Linked DNA regions of Saccharomyces cerevisiae S288C. The gene in region 2 interacts genetically with the main gene of each other region. Each region holds a gene or a part of one and is shown on either strand. Other genes may lie near its edges.

Region 1 (5,929 bases), on a different chromosome or scaffold from region 2:
AGTCTTTCAAGAGAAGATGTACCAATATACACTACACTCTTCAGAAGCAATGGGAGCTTTGGTCGAGTGAAAAAAAAATTTTCTCCATAAAGAAAGATCATATTATACGATGATGTAAGATATAATACCCGGTTGTAATGTACATTTAAGAGCAAGGTAAGAAGTGACAATAACTTCTGTATGATCTTAGCATGTACCTCTTTTGGTGGGCTGAGAACTAAGATTCATCTTTTTGCGGAAGAATTTTGCTATGAACTTCACAACTTTATGAAGTGGTTTAAGAGAATTACAAAAGAAATGACACAGACTCGAACACTGTGACGCGTCGTCTTAGTAAAAAATAATAATTTGAGTCAAATAGCGCAGCTAATGCGAAACAAAGAAATGAAGCATATACCATTCGTTGTATGATTTTTGTGTGGTTGACAGATATTCTGCCGAAATTTTAACGCTTATTATAAATATAAATGTATGTATGTGTGTATAAACAGATACGATATTCAATTTTCTACCGTAGGGTTGGGATTTTCTTCAAACTCCAATTCTTCGTCGGGTATTTCCTCAATGGCGATCCTCTTTTTTGGCTTCGGCTTTTCAGTGTCATTGACAATTTTAGGCACCTTAATTTGTAGTAGACCGTTGTTGTAAGTAGCTTTAATTTCTTCGTCCTTAATGCGTGGCAGCACGGGGAATTTAACGGTTCTCTCAAACGCACCATATTTTAGTTCCGTGATCTTCAAGAATTTTTCATCAATGCCCACTCTGTCTTCGATCTTACCCTTGATGAGCATCTCATGAGAAGATGGATGGTAATCAATGTGGAAAGCCCTAGAGTTAGCACCTGGTAACGCAAGAACAACTACGTAAGTGTCCTCGGTATCATAGACATTCACTTCTGGTGAAAATGGTAAGTCCATTCTCGTTTCAGGCTTGGATACTTGTAACGGGTCAGGTATTGGGGAAGGCGCTTGTAGGTGAGCGAACGATGAAGATTTTTTGGCTAATGGTGGTCTCGACGATTCCTCCAGCTGATTCAAAGGTTTTTCTTTGTTGGTTTCGCCAGCTTCCTCTTTGGGTGCTTCAGACTTATCCTTCTTATCCTTTTCTTCTCCCTTTTCGCCCTCCTGTTCGGTATTTGCTTCAATTTCTGGTTCAGTGCCTTCATATGGTGGAACACCTATTAACGCGGTTAATAAGTCGTTTAAACTGTTTGCCTGTTGGTTGGTCCTATTATTCCTGGCAGTATTACAATGGTAATATGATGGATATCTTCTCGAGTTGCTGTCCTCGCCACCATCTTCCTGTCTTGTAGTGCCGCTGTCACCCACCATATCTTCGTCTTGGTCCTCTTCTTCACCATCCTCGTCATCATAACCGTATTCAGGACTATAGTAATAGGCTTGTCCAGGGAACTGGTAGTAATAGGTATTAGGAACACCATTGTATCTGCTATACAATGGATGATGACGAGGATGATGCCCGCCAACGTGCACTTGTCCATAATGGGGATGGTATCTCTGTGGCCTTTGTGGTTGGCGAGGATATCCTTGCTGCCCTCTCTGGCCAGTTTGGTTGGATAATGCGTTCAAAACGTCATAAAGAGATAGGGATGGTTGATAAAAACTCATTGCTTCGGCTTGGTATGATCTTAATTTGTGTGGGATATGGACAATTGCCTGAACGTGTCCCTATGTTATGTATAATTATACTTCTTGACCGTATGTATGAGAATAAAAGATAGTTCCTGCCGGGATCAAAAAAACGATGACAGCAAGTCTTATATAACTAACTTCACAGAGGCCTCCCCCCTGCCGCCAAGGCCGCCCCTGTATTCGCCCCTGAGCAGTTCTCAATTCGCGAACCTTCCAGAACTTTTAAGCGCGTGTTCCAGGCGTTGCCGCCTAGCCACTGTTGGCCTCCGCCAAATTACTCCGGCAACACACCTATATAACTGCTCGAGCGGCTGATAGGGAAAGCTGAATTGAAGTATGTCATATCCTGTTTTAAACAAGTCTCGTTTTATGCTACTCTTCTCGAGAGCCAAGCATTACCATTCCATCTCTTGCTATTTTATTGTTCTTCTTAAAATGTTCACTTTTTCCCTTGCTCACTTGTTACCCAACCCCAGCTAAATATTAAAAATTTGGAAGAGAGTTTGGACAGTACACTACGTATTGAAGTACTCTTCAATTCAGGCGCGGCCTAAATTGTAAGTGATCTGGCAAGATGATATCCAGGAATGAAAATATCAATCGTAGAAACAGTAACCGTCTTGAATAAAAATCAAATATCATCTGCCAAATAGTACCCATATTACTAGTACATCATTATATGTGGCACAAGAAGTTAACGTGAAGAAACAGTTCTTATGTTTTATAAAAGCTGAAGCGCAAGAATCAATAAATTTAACATGAAAGAAAAAAACTTCTAGGACATTCTGTTTCACCTAATATTATAGCCTTTAACAATAACGTAATCCAAAAAAATTATCCGGTTATTCTCCTCTCACTAATCTTGCAATTCAGCTTCGTAAAATACTACTGTTTATATATGTTGGTTGCTATCGGTACTTTAGACTATGTGAATATTGGGAATTTTGAGATTTTTTGCTTTTAGGTGAAGCTAGTGAATTTCTCACAATAGTAGAAAATTCGATTGCAGAGAACCATAAATGGTTCGGTAAACCACTACATTGCAGTTGAGTACGGCAGTCATCTAATAAGGTACGGTTCAGCCGTTCAGCGACTCCATGTGCTCGGGAATTCGCTGTGGTTGTATAGCATGGAGTTATACCATTTTTTTCAAGGAATTTATGGAGAGTTCTGTTAGTATACTCAGAACCACGGTCCATTTGTATAACCAAGACACTGGCCTGAAACTGGTTTTTAATAAAAGCTAGTATCGTAGTAAAAACATCGAGGATAGAGTCCTCGCGACGGTCGTGTAATGGATAAACCCAACGGAATTTTGTTGTCTCATCAGTAAATGAGATGAAATAGGATGGTGCACTCTTTGGTAGGTTGTGAACTGGACCAAATATGTCAGTATGTAGGTATTGAAAGGGTTCGTATGAATTTTGGTATTTTAGTCGTGAACCTTTGATATGTCTGTGTTTGGTGCTTTTGCCGATTAAACAATCAGGACATTGATAGTCAACAGCACTAGACCAGTCGACATCTGATTCGTTAAAATACGTGATGGTGTTATTTTTAAGTGAGTATCGAATTGTCTGTGCATTGGCATGCGCAAGCATTCGATGAATGAAAGGATAAGGATACTTGCGTGTACTTTCATTTGTATGGGCATTATTGATGGTGGGTACGGAGATATTTGAAGGAAGCAAGTACTTTTTAGATACCCAGTAAAAGTCTCCATATTTTACGATAGGCGCAAGTACAGTGCCGTCAGATCGTTCTAAGACGTTTTTGGTAAAGCATGCTGTGATATCTACTGCAGCCAATTCATTCAAACTGAGTAAGTCATAGGCTATGTTAGGAGTGTGCAATACCTTTATTGATGTTTTGGTGTTGTCCTGGAAGTGAAATTGTAGGTCACCAATAGCGTTAATTGGTATATTTCTTTTTTGAGCATCAACTACGTTTATGTCAGGATTAGATGATGCTGAGTGTATGTGATGAGCAGATCTTATAAGGGTTCGTGATGCTCCTGAATCGAGAAGGAGGTGTCCAGGGAGTTCATCATCAGAATGATTAGTGTGATTCACCGTAGATTCAGTAAGTTCCTGGCCTAAGGTGAAGGTCGTGTTTATTCTTCAATTGAATCGGTTCAGTAGTTGATCCTCTTATGAGATCGTTATCAGGGCCGGGAAAGTTATTAGATGTGGATACGTTATGAGCCCTGGCTGTTCTTGATTGTGAATTATTTGGTTTTTGGGAATTCCGAGTTATGGATTTGGGTTTGGTTGTATTCGTATAGGTGCGAGAGTCTTTCTTCTCATCACTCGGACTTCTCCTATAAGTAGATTTATTACGTTTTGATTCCTGTTGTTCTTCATACATAGAATGTATGTCTGAAAACAGATCAGCAACTGTCATATGTATATATCGATGACGTGCGTAGCGTAAAAATTTGTATTCGCCAGATAGACCTCTCATAATGAATTGGCATGCTACCTTGTTATTGATAGGAATGCCATTGTTTTTTAGTCTGTCAAGAATGTTTGTGACTTCTGCTTCAAATGCATCTGCAGGTGTACTTCCATTATAATGCAAATTTGCTAGGGTCGTAATGTCATTTACCTCTTGAGTATCAGACTGCATTTTGTTAATGCTTTTGGAAAGAATTTTCATGATATCTGTATAATCAACAGATAAGATGTCTTTAACCCAGGTGGGTAAGAATTGAGATAGAGCAAATAGTTGAAAGGTGTGACATAAGAAGGTGAGTTCGTCATCAGTCATCTGACGTACGGCTTTTCTTGTTGCTGTCGGAATAATATCACCGAGATTCGAATTTTGTAAAAATTTGATGTATATTTTAACCCAATTTAGAAAGTCATTAGGTGAGGTTAAGATTGGCGGTGGTCTGACATGTTGATTAGTGGATGTCATATTAGACTTTGCTGAGGATGAATCAGGAAATGAATTACCTGACTCAGGTGACGGGGTGTTCAAATGTGTTCCAACATATTGTGGATATTGTGTAAACTGTGATTGTGCTCCAGGTGGAGCGTACATAGGTGACATTTGATAAGGTGGATACGGCATCAAAGATGGGTGCCCGTATACTGGCCAACCAGAAATATTGGCTTGTTGGGGAGTCATCATTCGCTGCTGTGGGTACGGCCCATTTTGTGGCAATGGTACTTGAGCAGCTTGAGGAGAGGCATGATGATGGTTCTCTGGAACAGCAGCTGAGGGAGGTGTTGTTGGCTGTTGAGAATTAGCCTGAGTGAAAACCTTCTCACATTCTTCTGTTTTGGAAGCTGAAATGTCTAACGGATCTTGAGTTGTTTGGACTTCTTTAGAAGTAACCGAAGCACAGGCGCTACCATGAGAAATGGGTGAATGTTGAGATAATTGTTGGGATTCCATTGTTGATAAAGGCTATAATATTAGGTATACAGAATATACTAGAAGTTCTCCTCGAGGGTCAGGAATCCCCATAATGGAATCTATATTTCTATATACCAATATTACGATTATTCCTCATTCTGTTTTATATGTTTCATTATCCTATTACATTATCAATCCTTGCACTTCAGCTTCCTCTAACTTCGATGACAGCTTCTCATAACTTATGTCATCATCTTAACACCGTATATGATAATATATTGATAATATAACTATTAGTTGATAGACGATAGTGGATTTTTATTCCAACACTATGTGTGTATTGTGTGTGCGTGTAATATAATCATTTCTAGTCATCTCTAGTCAAAGTAACTTATAAAAGCCTAAAAAAGGAGGATTTAACATGAATTGTCGGTCCTATAGTGTAGTGGTTATCACTTTCGGTTTTGATCCGGACAACCCCGGTTCGAATCCGGGTAGGACCTCTTTTTATTTTTACTCTAACAAATCAACATTGATATTTTTTGTTGATGTGTTAGAGTGGAGCCAACGATGCTCTTAAGATATACACTTTAGTACTTTTGAAGCTCTTACAGTTTTTTGATGTCGGAGAAGGCTTATACATATTGTTATTTTCCCTCTACAGGAAAGAAGGTGAACGTTTAGTTTTTATCAAGGCGCCGAGTAAATTTTATAATATCGAGGCGAGGGAAAAACAAAGCAACGAGAAAGGAAGCTCAAAGTTGGGATTTACATCATTTCTTTAAAAAGCATCATTGGCTTCTCTCCAATTGTTCAATAAACGCAGACTAATAGAAATTGAAGTCATTTTCCGGAGAAATATAAAATATTTTCTGCAACTAAGCTATACTCGATTTCTTTTAAGTTTCTCCAGA
Region 2 (4,833 bases):
CTTCCAAGATATCAGTATAAGCAAGCTAGATGACTTTTCTACAACAGTAAATTCCATCATAGATTCGTCTCTCAGAAATGAGAATAATGCAAAAGGAAACGCGAAAAAACTTTTGGATGATCTAATAAGTGATGAATGGTCAGCTGATCTTGAGTCGAGTGGAAAGAAGCACAACAAATCACAATACAATTTGAGGGACATCGCAGAGAAATGGGGAGTACAGTCTTTAAAAAATCCAGAGCCTATTGCTGTTGACTGCGAATATAAGACACAAGGAATCGGAAAAACCAATAGTGACATTAGTGATAGTCCGAAATCACAGATAGGAGCAGCTGATATACTGTTCGATTTTCCACTGTCTCCAGTAAAACATGAGAACCCAACTGAAGAAAAGCACAATTCGATTGCTAATGAAAATTCTTCACCAGATAATAGCCTGAAACCAGCAGGAAAACAAAATCATGGTGAAGATGGGACATCCATGGCAAAAAGGGTATACAATAAAGGTGAAGACGAGCAAGAACACCTTCCGAAAGGAAAGAAGAGAACCATAGCGTTATCAAGAACACTAATCAACAGCACCAAACTACCTGATACAGTAGAACTAAATCTTTCTAAATTTCTCGATTCCTCAGATAGTATTACTACTGATGTACTTTCAACCCCTGCAAAGGGGTCTAACATAGTAAGGACAGGTAGTCAACCAATCTTTAGCAACGCTAATTGTTTTCAGGAAGCAAAACGCTCGAAAACATTAACGGCTGAGGATCCCAAATGTACTAAAAATACTGCCAGAGAGGTATCACAACTAGAGAATTATATTGCCTATGGGCAATACTATACTAGAGAAGACTCAAAAAACAAAATACGACACTTGTTAAAAGAAAACAAAAATGCTTTTAAGCGAGTTAACCAGATATATCGAGATAATATAAAAGCACGCTCTCAAATGATTATAGAGTTTTCGCCTAGCCTTCTCCAGTTATTTAAAAAAGGAGACAGTGATCTGCAACAACAATTGGCACCAGCAGTTGTGCAATCAAGCTATAACGATTCTATGCCGCTTTTAAGATTTCTTCGAAAATGTGACAGTATTTACGACTTTAGTAACGATTTCTATTACCCCTGTGATCCCAAAATAGTTGAAGAAAACGTTTTGATTCTATATTATGATGCGCAAGAATTTTTTGAACAATACACTTCACAAAAGAAAGAATTATATAGGAAGATACGATTTTTCTCAAAGAATGGAAAACATGTGATTCTTATACTAAGCGATATAAATAAACTCAAAAGAGCTATTTTCCAATTAGAAAATGAAAAGTACAAAGCTAGGGTAGAACAACGATTGTCAGGAACAGAAGAAGCTTTAAGACCGAGAAGTAAAAAATCAAGCCAAGTTGGAAAATTAGGGATAAAAAAATTTGATTTAGAGCAACGATTGCGCTTCATTGATAGAGAATGGCATGTCAAAATACATACTGTAAATTCACATATGGAGTTTATTAATTCTCTGCCGAACCTAGTGTCATTAATTGGAAAACAGCGCATGGATCCCGCAATTCGGTATATGAAATATGCTCATTTGAATGTAAAATCCGCTCAGGATAGTACAGAAACGCTAAAGAAAACCTTTCATCAGATAGGGAGAATGCCTGAAATGAAGGCGAATAATGTCGTGAGCCTATACCCCAGTTTTCAATCATTACTTGAAGATATTGAAAAGGGAAGACTGCAATCAGACAACGAAGGTAAATACTTGATGACTGAGGCAGTAGAAAAAAGATTGTACAAACTGTTTACTTGTACTGATCCAAATGATACTATTGAATGATGATCGAACGAAACTTTGTATATAAGAACATACCTTAAGGCAGTCGTTTTGAAAATCACTGCAGCTCTATTTCCCCCTCCTTACCTTTTTAATGAATTCCATTTTACAGAAAGTACTATTGATAAATATTCGTAATAAAATAAAACAGTGTTAATAATAAATGTTCGAGATTCCGGTTAAAGATAATATGAAATGGTGAATGTAATATCATTTTATTTCTACGGACGTAATCATAATACATACTTTACGGCTAAATAATCGTCTTCATTAAGTCTGTCCTTTAGAGGCTCGATATGTTTGTAACCTTCGTTCAATTTGTGCAATTCCTGTTCATTAAATTTTATTCCGGAAGATATCAGGTGAGAGAGAAAAGACAGAACTCTATCTATGATGTTCAAGTTACTCTCGTCAGACAAGCACTCAATCGTACTTTCAATTACTCCATCCTTTCTCAGCACACTGATTATATTTTCATCAATCTTAACAGATGACAAATATGCGGTCAATAAGGCAATGGCTCTCATTTTCAGTTTTGGTTTGGCGGTGTTATCACTTAATACAGGTGCTATGCAGTCGAGCCCATTTAATTTGAAAAACTTTTCTGAGATATCTTTGTGGTTTCTTATTAGATTAGATAGTGCGTAAAAAGCTTTTGTTCTCACGTCGAGTGGCTTTGTCTTGTCACTAGCTATTTCGATAAGGCTTCGCAGACCATTGTCGTATTTCATGAAATTATTTTGCGAATCCAAGTTGTTTTGCACAGCCGTTCCAATAATGGATAAAGCAGCAGCACGTAGTTCTTCATCCTTCGTCTGAACAAGAACATCCAACAATGGCTCCCACAGTTTTAAATTTTCGATATTATTAGCATTATCTAAGTTCTCAATCAACATTTCAAAGTTGTCAAATGCAACGAGTTTTGTTTCTAAGTCAACCTCCGGATTCATAATAACAGCCATGGATTCTTTCATTAAGGTTGGATCGTCAGGACCACCACCACCGAATAACTGCTGTAGCAATTTAGGATCAGGTTGGCCGGCCCTAGCCATAGCTTCTTTGTCCCCTTGAGAATTCGCAATAGACCACTGTAATAGCTTTTCCATAGTTATGTATGTGTTTTTTTTTCTATTTTACTCTTTCGTTGAAAGGTAATGGCTTTCTGACTGACGATGAGTGCTCTTTTAGATATAGCCAATCGCTGGTTTATAAGCAAATTTCTGTCAGCGCGAGATGCCTTCCTCTTTTCTAACCTCCAAAAAACTTCCAGAAGATTCCAGTCCAAGAGGTATATCATTTCAAACGAATAAGCTGATTACAACCTTAATAGGGCCCAACTTGACCAACCAGTAGCTGAAAAGCTTACCTACAAAATAGGAAATAGGTTAGTACACTGTCGACAGCAGTGGTATAAGTATATACCCTACCTACACATCATATATATTGAAGTGAGGTTTATTTTCTGTGATCTTGTTTAGCGAATTTTATCACTGTTCTTTTTGATAAACTCGTCCAATTTGTAGACAAAATCCAAACCTACGGCCTTCAATCCATCTATCTGTTTTCTGGATGACTTAATGGACCCTGGGGATAACATTTCATCATTCAGTAATTGCTTGTCTATCAATTTGAAGTGATTATCCACTTCGTCGCTACACCAATCTACTAGGATGGAAGAAATCTTAGCCCCGAGTTCTTTGAAAATATCCTGGAAGTCCTCCACTGTTTTTTTAATGGTTTGGAACCTGATAACAGCCAATTGAGTCAAATAGTTCGTAGGATTGTCCACTGATCCAATCTGTAGAATCAAATCTTGAATGAAATTAGATCTATTCTGTAAGAATAGGTCAAGAGCTTGCTCTGGTAATCCTAACTTAATCATATTTTCAGTACCGCTTTTCAAATGCACTATTTCATTCGATGATAAAATGCTCTGAGAAAGTTTGCTAGAAATGGCCTCTCTTCTTTGTTCGATTTTTAAAGATATCAGGTTAAGTAACATTAACTCTTCATCAGAAATTCTTTCAGAAAGATCCTCCAATTGTGATTCAATATCCAATAATGTTTCCACGGCACTTTCAAACCTAAGCCTAGCTAATTCAATATCTATCTCTTCCACGCCTTCATCCAGGAATTTAAGCCTCTGGGCGGTTGAACTCATATCTCTGGACCTTGGCCTCGAATGCATTGATAGAGTTAGGTTCTGCAAAAGATATTGATCCATTGCGCCTGTTACATTTCGGCCAGGAGTGATTGAACCCCCCATACTACGTCTTTTGTTTTTGTTAGGGCTTCTGTTGTTTTCTCTACCTGGGGTTTGTTGCGTAGATTGCAAATATCTAAAGGACTCTCTAATACGTTTAGAGTTCTCCTCTTCTACATGGAATATGTCGCACAAATCATCCTTAGCCTTTCTTATAACGTCCAACAACCTAGAGCATTCGTCTGCGTCTCTACATTCATACAAACTTGAATTCGAATTGCTAAACTTGAAAAGTAGCCTCTTAGTGGAAAATTCCTCTTGCGTGACAGTGACATCCTTTAAAGGATAGCACTGGCTTACTATAAAGTCATTTTGCTTATCTCTTGATTTATCGGCGATAAGTACCAAATCATTCAAAATGAAAATCTGTACCATCTGCAAGGGTTTACCAGTGGTAGTATTTAATTCCATCCAATTGGCACTATTCATTAAAATATGTCTTCCTTTCGTAGAATTGATAAACTTCTGAGCACCTTCAACGTTCTTAAACAGCTGATCCAGTTCCGTATCCCAAAATTTCTCTAATATCAAGACGCTCGATCTGTCCCTCCTCATGAGATTCCCATTTTGTCCTGCTTTCAAAGGCGGAAGTAACGCTGGACTATTAGAATGACTTTCAACATTGTTAAAATTGCCTTGTCTCTCTTGATCTATTTGATCCTGCAATTGTAACCTTTTTTCAGCTATTTTGGTGCACTGATCCAAAACCTCGTTTAAATCATTTATATTTGCTCTAACC

Evidence for each region. Genes that interact genetically often act in the same process or in processes that back each other up.
Region 1: mutations in FES1 (region 2) and HSP42 impair growth when combined (synthetic growth defect), as found in Saccharomyces cerevisiae (one study listed by BioGRID).

The regions. Positions count from the first base shown.
Region 1 is NC_001136.10:802,320-808,248, reverse strand, and holds HSP42 (heat shock protein HSP42), read right to left. Parts: upstream 1,629-5,929; coding exon 501-1,628; downstream 1-500. Other genes in the region: YDR170W-A (gag protein), read right to left, coding at 3,732-5,054.
Region 2 is NC_001134.8:441,757-446,589, forward strand, and holds FES1 (Hsp70 nucleotide exchange factor FES1), read right to left. Parts: upstream 2,938-4,833; coding exon 2,065-2,937; downstream 1-2,064. Other genes in the region: MMS4 (Mms4p), read left to right, coding at 1-1,834; exocyst subunit EXO84, read right to left, coding at 3,306-4,833.